Drosophila melanogaster: one gene and its partners. The protein of the gene in region 1 interacts with the protein of each later gene in a pairwise test. Each region holds a gene or a part of one and is shown in the gene's direction. Other genes may lie near its edges.

Region 1 (4,338 bases):
TGAAATGAACCACCCTAACATAGCGCCATAATAGCAGAGTTCCGAGGCATTTTGCAGCGGCTGAGTACGGTCCCACTATTCCACAGGATTCAACCGAATCACAAACAAAACGCGCAATTCCCTTTGATCGCAGATAAAGCGCTTATTTTTCTTGCCCAGCGATGGCGGAAGTGCTGCCCAAGAAGCGCAACGCCTGCGTCATCGTGCTGGGCGACATTGGACGCAGTCCGCGCATGCAGTACCATGCCCAGAGTCTTCTCGAGGAGAACTACCACGTGGACATGATTGGGTATCTGGAGACGAGGCCGCTGGAGGAACTGACTCAACATCCACGTTGCCGAATCCACGAGCTAACTGCCGTCCCAGTGACGAACCTAACACCCAAACTGCGCCTGCTCTTCAAGGCCTTTTGGCAGACGCTCAGTCTGCTGATGGCTCTCATCTCCATTGGCCGTCCCAGCTTCCTACTCGTCCAGAATCCGCCCGGCATTCCCACGCTGATTGTGTGCTATCTGTACTGTGCGGTCACACGAACCAAGCTGGCCATCGATTGGCACAACTACACGTACACAGTGCTGGCATTGGGAATGTCGAAGGGAGAGCAGAGTCCTCTAATACGATTGGTTAGGCGACTGGAGCGATACTTCGGCTCCAAGGCACACACACACTTCTGTGTGACGCGGGCCATGCAAGAGGATCTGCAGCAAAACTGGGGCATTGGGTAAGTCCTCATCACATCCATCTAAACGAAGTAAATAACTCAGCCGCGACTCATCTTTCAGGCCTGTCAAAGTTCTGTATGATCGTGCGCCCGCGCAATTCCATCCCATCGACTTGACTCACAAGCACGAGCTGTACCTGAAGCTGGCCAAAGACTACCCACAGTTCCAGGCCAAGGACGCCGAACAATCCGATGTTCTGGAGGCCACCGCTCTTACCCAAAAGCTGGCCAGCGGTGTTGTGCAGTACAGACCACAGCGACAAGCCGTGCTGGTTTCCAGCACCAGTTGGACGCCGGACGAGGACTTCGGTATACTGCTTAAGGCTTTGCAAGCTTACGAGGAGACTGCGCAAGCAGAGCCGTTGGTTTATCCTTCCCTGCTGTGTATCATCACCGGAAAGGGGCCACAAAAGGAGCACTATGTGGCGGAGATCGAGAAGCTGCAATGGCAGAAGGTGTCGGTGATCACGCCCTGGCTAGAGATCGAGGACTACCCCACTGTTCTGGCCAGCGCCGACCTGGGCGTGTGTCTGCACTGGAGCACCAGTGGGCTCGACCTGCCCATGAAGGTGGTCGACATGTTCGGCAGCGGGCTGCCTGTCTGCGCCTACGATTTCAAGTGGTAACTAATCCTGCCATTTACTATTATTACTTACTAACTTCTACAAATGGCTCTTTAGCCTGGATGAGCTGGTGAAGCACGGCGAGAATGGCTTCGTGTTTGGCGACCATGTTCAGCTGGCCGAGCAGCTGAGGATTTGGTTCGAAAATTTTCCAAAGAATCCCAGCATCCTGGAGACAAGAGCTGGTTTTCAGCGCAAAATCCAGGAGTTCCAGGAGCTGCGATGGCGGGAGAGTTGGCGCCTGATCGCGGCCCCCGTACTGGAGGCATTTCTATAGAGCATTTTGACAAAGATTTGACAATTACACGTTATGAGAGACTTCCTTTGATTGCTAATCGCTTTTTCTAGGCTAGTTACTACAAATTCTGTACACAAAAGAGCTTCAAACTTGCTTATGATGCTTATTTTATTTTTATAATCGTAGCCTAAAGATAAAAATAAATTGCTAAAAAAAGGAGATATATACAACTATTTATTCGCTTGTAAAGCGTGTTTTCTTAGGAGTATTATGTATTTCAATTAAAAAAGAAAATTCACGGGATGCAGTGCCGATTTTTTTTTATTTGAACACCAATATCGATAGTCTGAAATAAACATCGATATATCGGAAAATTTTAAAAACATCAATGTTTGACACCTCTAGTTGCGGACAACGGTCACACTTCAAAACCAAACCGGCTGCGCAAAAATTACTATAATTTGTAATTAAAATTAATCAATTTTATTTAGTTTCGAAAGAATGAGCACCGAGTGTCGGATCTGCGGCGAGCGCATCTTCACGCCGCACCCAAAGAACATCTTCGAGAAGCGCAATCATCGCATTCGGATGGCCATCGAGCAAATCACGGGCTTAGAGGTGGCGTCCCTTTTATTTGTTGTCCGGAATTATTCATAATCTATGCATTTCCAGATCGTTTTAGAGAATATGCTGCCCCAGCACATATGCGCTTGTTGTCTCCTGGACCTGACCCAAGCCGTAGCCTTCAGGCAGCGATGCCTGGAGACGCACGCAAATCTCCACCAGAGGATCTCCTCGAAGGCGGGTGTCGCCTCAAAAGGCTCCCCGGAGGTTTCGCCAGTGCTTAGTGATCCGCTGCTGAAACGGGAGGTGCTGGATGATACAGTAGACACCGAGGACGATAAGGAGCTACTGGACGATGATAAGGATTTAATGGATGATGATAAGGATTTCTTGGAGGACGAAAAGCCGATTTTAAGATATCCTCCGGCCAAAAAAATCCGGATCGAGGACCAAAATTTCCCGAACAGACAGTCCCCACGAGTCAGGGTCAAGCGGCTTCGTGTGCCTGTGGTCGAGAAGGCAGATAGTCCACCGCCACCTCCGCGGGAGCACGTCCGAAAGCCCAGAAAGCGGCGACCAAAACCCAAGGTCGATCGCTCGATAAAGCGATACGTGTGCGACCAGTGCGGTTGGTCGTTCAACGATCACAGCAACATGAAGGATCACAAGCTGCGGCACTTCGAGGAGAAGTTTTCATGCGACGAGTGCGGTCGCAAGTTCTACACCATGCCACTGCTCCGATTGCACATTCGAGTCCATCACAAGGGCGAGAAACCGTACGTCTGCAAGTTCTGCGGTATGGGATTCGCCAATAGTCCCAGCCGCTGTCGTCATGAACGGTGAGTGCTGGCCTAATCATCACAAGTCCTTATCTATATAAACCATAAAAACCTTGACAGTCAAATGCATGCCAACGAGCTGGTGCACCCGTGCAAAATATGCGGCAAACGATTCAACAGCGAGAAGGGACGGCTGAAGCACGAGGAGGGGCACAAGAGTGACCAACCGGATGTCCATATGTAAGAATCATTGAAATATACGTAGCCATAGATGTACAAACTCATATTCTTTCACAGCTGCCTCACATGCAACAAGGAGTTCAAGGAGGCGCAGTTTTTGCATCGGCACTACTCCACAAAGTATCACCGCAAGCGGGTCAACTTGCTGGTTAATGGTCCAAAAGAGGAATTCCAGTCTGAAGTCGATCCGGCGGAGTTTCCGGGATATATGGAAGAGGGGCAGGCAGAAATGGAGGACAACCAGGCTGAACTGGACGTAATGTTAGATAACATTGACGAGGAACAATATGAGGACCACGAGGTACTTCAGGATGAGGACGCAAATTTTGAGGACTTCGAGTACGAGGAAGCCATTCCCGATGGAGAGGAGCTGTACACCTAACTTTAAGCACACAAAAAAAATCGACTGTTGGCGCCACACACTCCACACTCCACACGCCACAATGCCAGGGATGCAAACTATCTGACTTTTTCGGTGGTTCAGAGAAATCCTTTGAATCACCAGCCAGCCGTACGATTAGCACCAGTGTGGAAGGAATTCAACGTCGGTCTTAGATTACAATTTGTTATAAAATATATTTTATTCTAATTGCACAGCGCGCTTATTTTAATAAAAATTATATGGAACCAATTTCAAAAACGTCAGGAATTAGCCGAACGTGTGTTTTAGCTTGAACCTCTCTTTTTGGGAAAATTTAACCTCCCGTTTATAATATATAAATTTTAAATTATAAAAACTAGCTCGATGTTCCCTGGTTTCTAGGAAATAAGAACAGTTAGTTTTTCCACACCTATCTGGTAACGCCATGAAACAGGTAATTCATACAAATTTTGCTGCTTAGAGAGAGTAAACAGAAATTCTCGGATTGCGTACGCTCTTTTACCGTTTTTATTCCATAATTGACAACATAAAATCAATTAAACTACAGCTGATTGTTTTGGGAATTCAGCGGGATAAATGATCATATGTTTGAAATGAAAAAGCCTTCGCAATGCCATTTGTGCGCCTCGTGTTTCTGTCACCTGAATCCCACGATAATTTTTTGCCTGGAAGTTCTGGCCAAGATCAAGGATCTCACTGGAATATGGGTATGTTGATGGTTTCTTGTGTGCGTGAATGGCATAACCCATTTACTCCATTTACAGTTAGAACAGAATGAACGCCAGCCGCGT
Region 2 (5,106 bases), on another chromosome or scaffold:
TTTTCCACAGGCAGGGGACTGGTGGAAAATGTAGTGGGGAAAAGCGGGAATGCCGTCGTGCAATCAGTCAGCGTTATCAGTTTGCCCAGCTGATGAGGTCCAACCGCAATTCCATGGCCATGAGGAGTCAGGAAGTGGCTTGGCCTTGCCTGCGACTTTGGGCACACCCCTTCGACCCACCCACTCCGCCGAAACACCCACCCACCCAACGCCACCACTTAATGTGTTGCATTTGTCCTGCAGCACGGTCGTGATTCGAAGTTGGGCAGCACTACAGGTCACTGTAAGAAACAGGAATTGGAAAGCAATAGTTATCGCTTAAAACACCGGAAAAGTTAAAGTCAAATATTTCTTGTATTTTTATTTATCTTTTATTTATAATCATATTGAAAATTAAAACTAATAATAGGTGTTGGTTATCTTTAAAATTGATTTCATTATCAAGTTATTATGCTCGATACGTGCATACTGATTGGCACAAGGCCCACTTTTCCTCAATTTTCCCGCTGTGCAGAGAATTTCCCGCGGCCAGGCAACTTGTGCTGGGCACACTTCCACATCTCTACTGCCACATCATCCACCTCCATCGACAGTCCGTTGCTGGTTTTTGGACTTTTCAGCTTTTCTCACAGGGGCTGGCGTTTTTCGGCTGCCTGGGCGTTTTGTTTGCATAGAAAGGCCGGAGGGGTGGGGCGGCGAGAGGCGGGGCGGTACAGGGGGTGTGGTTCAATTAGCCCGCTTCTCAGCTGCAGCCCTGAAATGCAACAGCTCGACCGGCAGCTTCCAGCTGTGGGAGGCCCAACTGGCACGGGTTAATCTGGATTGGGTTCCGAATAATCACGACTTCTCGGGATCTTCCAAATCAGAGTCTAAGTACATATGTACATTGTTTTTAGTTTTCCTAAAATATTACTAAAATAACATGCTATGTAATCTTACAAATACTTTGAATTTCGTGAATTTTCTGAAACAGAATTTTCAAATGTGTCAGATAAATTCCAATTGTTAAACCCTTTTCTGCAGCCTTACATCCGGTGAAATCTTCCAAGTATTTGTTATGATTTTCGAACATTCTTAACTATCTATATATATTTAGCAATATTTTCCATTTCTAAACGCTGTGATAAAACCACACCTGGATTTATTTTGCTCAAGCTAAGACCATTTAAAGTCGCAATTTCCAGAGTTAGTCTACTTTTGGGGGCAAAGCTGTTGCAATCTAAGTTTCGCTGGTCTTTTCCAAATTTCCTTTTCTTTAATTTAGTCGTTTTCGAGGTAAAAACACGACCATTTCCCCGCAAAACTCCCTTTCGCTGCGACCGATAGTAACGAAAAGTCGAAATGGAAAACAATTTGTCATCTTGCGTGGATTTTCATTTCTATTCTCATACATATATTTCGTATACCCTTTTGTTTTTCCTACGATTTTCAGCTATCCAGTTCTGGGAAAACAACATTGGCGAACATTTAATTGAACGCAATAGTAGTTGTTGCCGTGTGTGCATTTGTTTTCAGTTTTTAACGCAGGCACGCGATGAAAGAGAGGGCCGCAGGACTGTCGAAAGAGACGGCACGAGGGGCACGTGTCCGTGTGCGTGCCATCTCGCTCGCACAGCGGCCATCGCTCTAATTATAGGTTAGGCCCGTCCGATCTGCCATTGGCCAAAGCGTTCATATAGAGGGGGCTGTGCTCTGGGAACTGGTTTTACCCAAAGCAGCCGGGGTTTTTATGAATGAAACTGGAAGGGAAAGGCGCACACACCACCAAAATACGAATACACGAATGCATATATATATATATATATATATCTTTACCCCTGGCACCCATTCGCACCACTCTAGAGAGTGGTGTGTGTTGTTTTATATTTTGTTGTTGCTGTTGTTTTTGGATTGTCTGTACGAGCGTCTCGCTTGCACTGATGGCATCGTTGGCCCCCACGTTGAATTTTGGTTAGTTGGAGTGAATTTACGACTGTGTGCTATCTCACTCGCACCGCTGCGGCAGCTACGCCGGCAGCGGCAGCGACTGTGGCAGCGTTGGTGGCAGCGGCGACATTTAGACAAGCTTTTTGTTCGCGTGAAACAGTTGCAAGCCTTTGAACGATCAGCGACGACGGCGTTACTTTTGGCGCGGATACAGCAGCGACACTTTTTTTTCGTTGGCAGGCGCCTCCTGTCACCAAACAAACAAATAAATAAACAAATAAACATAAAAACAAACAAGCAAATAAATAAACAATAAACCAACAAGCAAACAAACAAACATAAACAAGCCAACAAGCAGCCAAGCTAAACAAAACAACTGTGTGCATTTTTGGTTCGAGTTTCCTTTAATTTCCATCGCTTATATTTCATTTTTTTTTTGCCTGTGTTCCTTAGAAAAGAAGTCTATAAAGAATAAAAAAAATAAAAAAAAAATTAAGCCCATATATAGGCACAAAATCCCAGTGACAATAAGAGCAGTCAAACATTGCAACTCTCAGCAGCAAACATCAGCCGACGGCCGAGTGAAGAAAAGTGCAACGCCGACGGACTCGAGAAAAGATACAGATACAGATACGGATTATACATATCTGGGCTATTAGCTGGGCCATAATCTGCTCTCAAGCGATTTAGCCCACTTTGCTTTTTTTCTGAGTGCGTGTGTGCTTGTGCTGTGCTGTGCTGTGCTGTGCTGTGCTTGCCAATCCATTTGTCCATGTCCTTTACATCTTTTTTCCCTTACTCTCCAAGATCAGTGAGCCTGGCCTGCAACAATAGTCGCAACAAAGAAAAAAGTAGTTGAGTTGAGCAAGAAGAAAAGAATAGAAAATCGAACCCTAAACCCAAGTGGCCGCAAAACAAAGCAGAAGCAAAACAGACAGCATCATTGTGCGCCTCAAATTGACATCAGCAGCAGCAGCAGCAGCCGCAGCAGCAACGACAACTGCCACTGCCACTGCAGCAGCAGCAACATCAGCAGCAGCAGGAGACGCAGCAGGAACATCCACAGCAACCATGTTAACGGACATGACACCGACCGCCGGTCAGCTCTACGGATCCCAGATTCCGGCCATGGGCATGAACATCAGCAATATCGCCACACACTTGCAGAAGCCACAAGTTAATCCGGTAAGCCGAAATCTCAAATCCCAAATCCGAAGATACCAAAACCGCACCTCGAGATATGTATCTGCAAGATAGGTCACTACAGATACGATTTGGTCAGAGCGTTCTTATCGAAGTGTATCTTTCTTTTAACACTGGGCCTCAATTATGCACACTTACCGTCACTTTACACACAATTGCCATCCATCGAATAGAAAACTATCGACAGCATAGCCCAAAAGTAGTAGATTCTATTATACAGATACAATTACAGGGTGTAGAGATACAAATGTATCAATCTGTATAAGAAATTATAAAATTATGCCAATTATGGTGACCATTACTTTAGATACAATTGTCATGTCAGAAAGTTAATATTTGTAATATACAGAATTACAAGCATAATTGGGTCTTAATCAACTGTTCTAGAAAAACTAGTGTTTTTTGCACCCAAAAACGAAAAATGCCAATGTACTAAGAGCAATTTATTACACCCACTATTCGCTTCGCTAAACATTTCATAGTTATCGCTGCAGAGTTTAGCCCGAAAGTATCTCATAGATACATATGTGGGCTCACTGCGCACAAGTGACTGGCAGGCATTTGCTGACTTAGTCATGATTTGATGAATGCCTCCCGCAGACACTCGTGCACTTCGACATAAATCATTCGCGCAGAGAAGTCAAGAAGTTACTTTACGGCAAGTATTTCTGTATCTCACAGTTGCGGCTGCCAAATCCTTACCAATTGTCGCTTATAAAATATATGTACATACGTACAGTAATCGGACAAATCAGCCACTTACACGGCATTAGCATTGACAATAAACAGCCATAAACAAACAATGACAACAGACGCCGCGGATTTCGATTTGTATTCAGTTACGGATACGATTTCGCATCCGAGGAATTCACAGTAGCGCACACCTTTTGTCAGCCGCTCAGCTGGATTCCTTTTGTGAGGCGATGATGATTGGAACTCATCGGGATTGTTTGGTAGTATCTAATGCCGGGGAACGGGATACAAATCGATTGGACGCGGCTTGTTCAGCCCCGGATTTTTTCACTGTTTTCTGTGTGCCAACGGATTTCACGGTATGCGCCGCAGATACATAGCTGCAGATACAGATACTATTGATAGGCTGAGATACTGAGGTACCAGGTAGGCGCCGTTTGCCGTTTCTCGTTTCTCGCTCTCAAAATCAATTATTCAGGCTCACTTGAGGTGTGAAGCTAACGATGGAATCATTCCTGGGTCTACTTAAAATCTTTTTTTGTTGTTTTTTTTTTTTGTTTCATTTGGGGTTTTGGCAAATCTGTAGAGATCGTATTTCCACGCTGACTTTTCGACTCGTATCGCTTATCGCACAGCGGAAGCAAACACTTAAAGGCTAAAACGCATCAGGCAGCCGTTCATAATGATCTTTTGGCCCCGATCCAAAATTCGCTCATCAATCTCGTCCGGCCTTTGATCTGGACCGAAAAACTAAGACAGATTTCCGCTAATGATCGTTTTTGTACGGCTCCTCCGGGCTTTTGCTCTCGATTTCAATTCGAATTTCAGTTAGCTGATTATGCAAGTCCATCGTGCTGGCCCACATCATATGATATTGGTTCAAAACCCTGTAATTCACAGCAAAAGGTCAGCGGCTAGATCAGTTGGCTAAAAATAATTTGTTAAATTCCCCAAATGAAAACTTTGATGTCAATGCTAGAAGTCATTAAAATCAGAATCAGGGTTTGTAAAGTATTTAAAGAAGAATATAGTGTGTTCTAAAGTGTATACTTTAAAAGTTTAGCCAAACGAATAATTAAATAAATAAATTAGGGTTGATTGTACTTTAGATATACTATCTCTGTTCTGAAGGATTAGCCCGAATCGCATGACACTTTTAATAGAGTCAGCAACGCCAAATGGACGCAATGTGATTGAGGCACTTTCAATCTGCTGCCCCTGGCCACCACCTGCCCCTCCCCCCTCCCTCCTTTCCAACGTTCATTTTTCTCCGATTTTTTCACC
Region 3 (3,883 bases), on another chromosome or scaffold:
GGTACTTACCCGGTTTTACCGAGTACAGCCACACACCAAATATCTTGTTTACCTATCCCACATGGGTGGCAATAGACCTGTTTACCTTTTCATAATGTGTTTTGGCACTACAAAGCGAGATTCGTTAAAACATGTGATAGGATATCAAATTTGACCTAATTTCTGTATGAAAGTCCACTTCAGTTACATAGTCCAACATGGACCACTAGCGAACATACTAAAATTCTAATTAATCACTCAGTAACCATGCTTCTAAACCAACTAACTCTTCTAGAATATAACACCAGAACGTCGTAAGCCAGGACCGCGCATGAAGAGCTCACTCCAAGCCCTGTTGAGCGATGAAGGATCACCGACGGGACCACAGCGAACCGCCAAGATAAACGTTGCACAGAAAATGGTCGTTGAGCCAGCGATCCGAGCCAATGGCATCTCGCCATTGCCCAAGAATGTTGGCAAGGAGGAAAAGTTTGAGGACTACTATACGAAAACGGAGCGACACGTTTGGAAAAAGGATGCGGAGAAGATGTTGCTGCAACTGTGGGCACAGCATTTGAAGGATTTTCGTGGAGAGTCCAAGAATGTGATCATCTACCGGCAAATGGCTAGGGAGATGAGTCAGTTTGGGCCCAGCCACACGGAGCTTAAAACCAAAATGGACAATTTGTCGCGAAAGTATAGGTGCGCTCTTATATTTTGCATACCAAAAGTTTTTATTTTTATAGTATATTAACTTTTATATTGGTATTTACAGAATAGAAGCTGAGAGAGTTCGGGAAACTGGAGTGCCATCCAAGTGGGAGCACTTTCATAAGCTTCAAGCACTTCTGATTGGCACGAAATCAGTTGATGTCTTCGAAGATATTACCGCCGAAAATCCAGGTAAAGTCGTAGTGCAATAAATGCTAGTTATGTCATTATGTCTTAAAAATACGCTAATTTTACAGCTCAAGCTTTGTTCAGCGATGAGGATTATGAGCCTGAGGAATTGTCTTCATTAAAAGACGAGCCTATGGCCGGGGACGATGGGAACGTATTCGAAAGTGATATGGTTGCTAGCAAAGCCATGAAAAGAACGCGAACTCCCTCTCCCAGTATTCCGGAAATCCCGGAAGAAGACGAGGAGGAGGAGGAGGAGGAGGAGGATGATGACCACATGAAGGATCTCTCCCCATCGCCAATTTCAAAATGTCAGACAAAACGGAAAGCATCGAACAACCATTCGGACAGACTCCTTGAAATAGAGGAGGAAAAACTGGCGATCGAGCGAGAAAAGCTGCAGGTTATGAAGGATGCACTGCTGGAGCTAAACGCATTTCACAAAGATATTGTTTATTTGCTTAAGCATAACAATCAGTAGTGTAAATATTAAGTGTTATACGTAGAAGTAGCGTGGTGTTACTTTTTCAGCAAAATATACAACTAAAACAGTGAATATTTAATGTAATATTGCTTCAACTTCAAATTAATCTAAATATATATATATATATTGTAAAAAGCTAGATTTTGCATTGTTATGATCTTACAAATTAGTTTCTTAAGTAAAAATAAATGCAATGAAATTATATTTTACTTTTTTTAGCAAAACTTTAATTACTTACTTTACTTTAATATTATAAATTTGTTTTAAATCGTATTTGTTACATTTAGTTTCTCAATTCGTAAAATGTTTTTTTATTTGTATTTTAGATATAATTTAAATCGATATCATAGAACTATCGATAGATATATGAAGCCAATACCGACCATTTCTAGAAAAATCGATATCGAGCTGCTGCCCATCTCTAGGCACATTTTGTTTATACTTTTCGAGCGTAAGGACGACATGATTGAGGCCCGCACGATGCAGGACGTATCAAAATTCGAATCCAACCAGGTGATCTCGGCGAAGGTGCTCCGCGGCGAGTACCGGCTACTACGACGCAAGCAGCGCGGCTCCGTGTGGAAGGTGTATCGGGAAATCGTGCGCACCGATGGTGCCATAATCAATGGACTCTACTTCTGCACGGGCTGCAAGCGCGTCATGCGATCCTTCAACACGTCCAATCTGCGCACCCACAAGTGCCATGTGGACTACCTGCGTACCGAGGAACTGTGCGAGGAGGGGATCGCGGAAATCCATCCCCCTAAACTAGACGTACGTACAACGACGCCATTAGAAGTCAATAGTAGTCCAAATTACCATGTCTCACTTGCAGGATTCGTTGGAGCGCCGCCTGAGCTGGAACTCCTTTCAGCCGTCCGAGTGGTCATTCCACGCGGTCGAACTGCTGCTCGAGCTTTGGGCAAGGCACTGCGTCGATTTGCGAGACTCACGCAAGCGGGTCCAGGTTATCTGGAAAATGACGGGCGAGATGAAGTCACTGGGTTTCACGTTCACGGAGATAAAGAACAAAATTGATGACATGGGCCAACAGTATCGGTAATAAGTGAATATACTTATTTAAGCATATTCCTTATCTAATATTACAATTTATTTCAGGCGAGAATCGCACATGGAAAAGACAACTGGACACAAATCCCAGTGGGAATACTTCGAGACCATGAAGATGATATTTAGTTCCGATCGTAACATAATTGACAATATGCCTCTGGATAAGTCTGGAAGTGCACCCAATACGACCAGCGAACACAATTCATTTGGCAGTCAACTTGACGAACCATTGATAGATAGGAACTACTTAAGGTCCCAAAAAGTACACCCTGGAGAAGGGGATAGCTTCGATATGAACGAATATGCGGATGAAGCACAAGAAGACGTGGATGAACTGCGTATTCTGAAGGATAACATAATCAGGGAAATCGAAGAGTCGTCCACAGTTCATTCCCAGGAAAACTATGAAGACGAGCTCGATCAACAGAATTCCAAGACCGAGGACATGAAAATTGCTAAGCGTCAAAGAGCTGCCAGAATTATGGAAATAGAGGAGGAAAAGCTGGTCATAGAGAGGAAAAAATGCAAACTGATGAAATTTTTCGTGCGAGAGATGTCGTCGTTTCATAAGGACTTCATGGATCTTCTATCTAATCCCAAAGGCGGCGCACATGCATAAATACCTGTTCGCGATTTGAGTGATTGCACAATAAAGTTCATTTCCACCGTTATTAACGTAAACTTAAAAGGCATCACATTCAACGAATTTTTAAAAAAATCATGTAACAGAAAGTTTAAATATCTCATTTCGGCAGTCACTCAATTTTTTATTTCAAATACGAATAAGTATAAAATGATTTGTGATTCATTGCGTTTTATTACAATTCAGCAGATATGTTTAAGATTTAATAAAATGAAGTCGTAATATCTTCGCCGTTTATATAATTTATTTATATATAAACCATGTATATCTGAAATTTGAAACGAAAAGTAGTGAAATAACTATTAATTTGATTGGTTTTAGAATATTTGTTGTAGATGACATTATATGTATTTTATTTTTTTAATTGTGTGGTTAATATTTTTTCTTTTCCTATTAAATTAAATTCGATACATGGTATTACATAGAATGTCGATATCGATTGTAATCGAACATCGCAACCAACTCACCGGTGATGCCACCTGGTTCGGAGCTCTGTGTTTTTAATTTTTTTTACTATGACCATAAGGATTGCGAGGCGAAATATGTTTTTCATACACGCCCCCGAGGAGGAGAAGTGCATGGAGGCGCAGCTGGACATCCTTATGAAGATCAACTCCGGTGAATATCGGCTGGTGAAGAAGAACAAGCGCAGTTCCGTTTGGAACGTCTACCGGGAAATCGCTCGTCCGGACGGCACCAAGTTGAAATGGCGATACTTCTGCATGGGCTGCAAGCGTGTGATGCAGAGCACCGGCGGCACCACCTCCAATCTGCGCATCCACAAGTGCCACGTACGGTATATCAAG

Evidence for each region.
Region 2: the proteins of Odj (region 1) and Sp1 interact in a two-hybrid assay, tested with the Drosophila melanogaster proteins (one study listed by BioGRID).
Region 3: the proteins of Odj (region 1) and ssp interact in a two-hybrid assay, tested with the Drosophila melanogaster proteins (one study listed by BioGRID).

The regions. Positions count from the first base shown.
Region 1 is NT_033777.3:17,806,863-17,811,200, reverse strand, and holds Odj (oddjob), read left to right. Parts: upstream 1-1,978; 5' UTR 1,979-2,083; coding exon 2,084-2,200; intron 2,201-2,254; coding exon 2,255-2,985; intron 2,986-3,045; coding exon 3,046-3,165; intron 3,166-3,222; coding exon 3,223-3,547; 3' UTR 3,548-3,794; downstream 3,795-4,338. Other genes in the region: Alg1 (ALG1, chitobiosyldiphosphodolichol beta-mannosyltransferase), read left to right, coding at 162-721, 783-1,343, 1,402-1,621; CG17801 (uncharacterized protein), read left to right, coding at 4,132-4,254, 4,312-4,338.
Region 2 is NC_004354.4:9,727,567-9,732,672, forward strand, and holds the start of Sp1 (Sp1), read left to right. Parts: upstream 1-2,081; 5' UTR 2,082-2,317; exon of another isoform or gene 2,318-2,733; 5' UTR 2,734-2,997; coding exon 2,998-3,111; intron 3,112-5,106.
Region 3 is NT_037436.4:12,116,490-12,120,372, forward strand, and holds ssp (sunspot), read left to right. Parts: upstream 1-1,767; 5' UTR 1,768-1,825; coding exon 1,826-2,137; intron 2,138-2,198; coding exon 2,199-2,422; intron 2,423-2,482; coding exon 2,483-3,053; 3' UTR 3,054-3,300; downstream 3,301-3,883. Other genes in the region: vers (versatile), read left to right, coding at 275-681, 755-882, 948-1,360; CG11560 (uncharacterized protein), read left to right, coding at 3,593-3,883.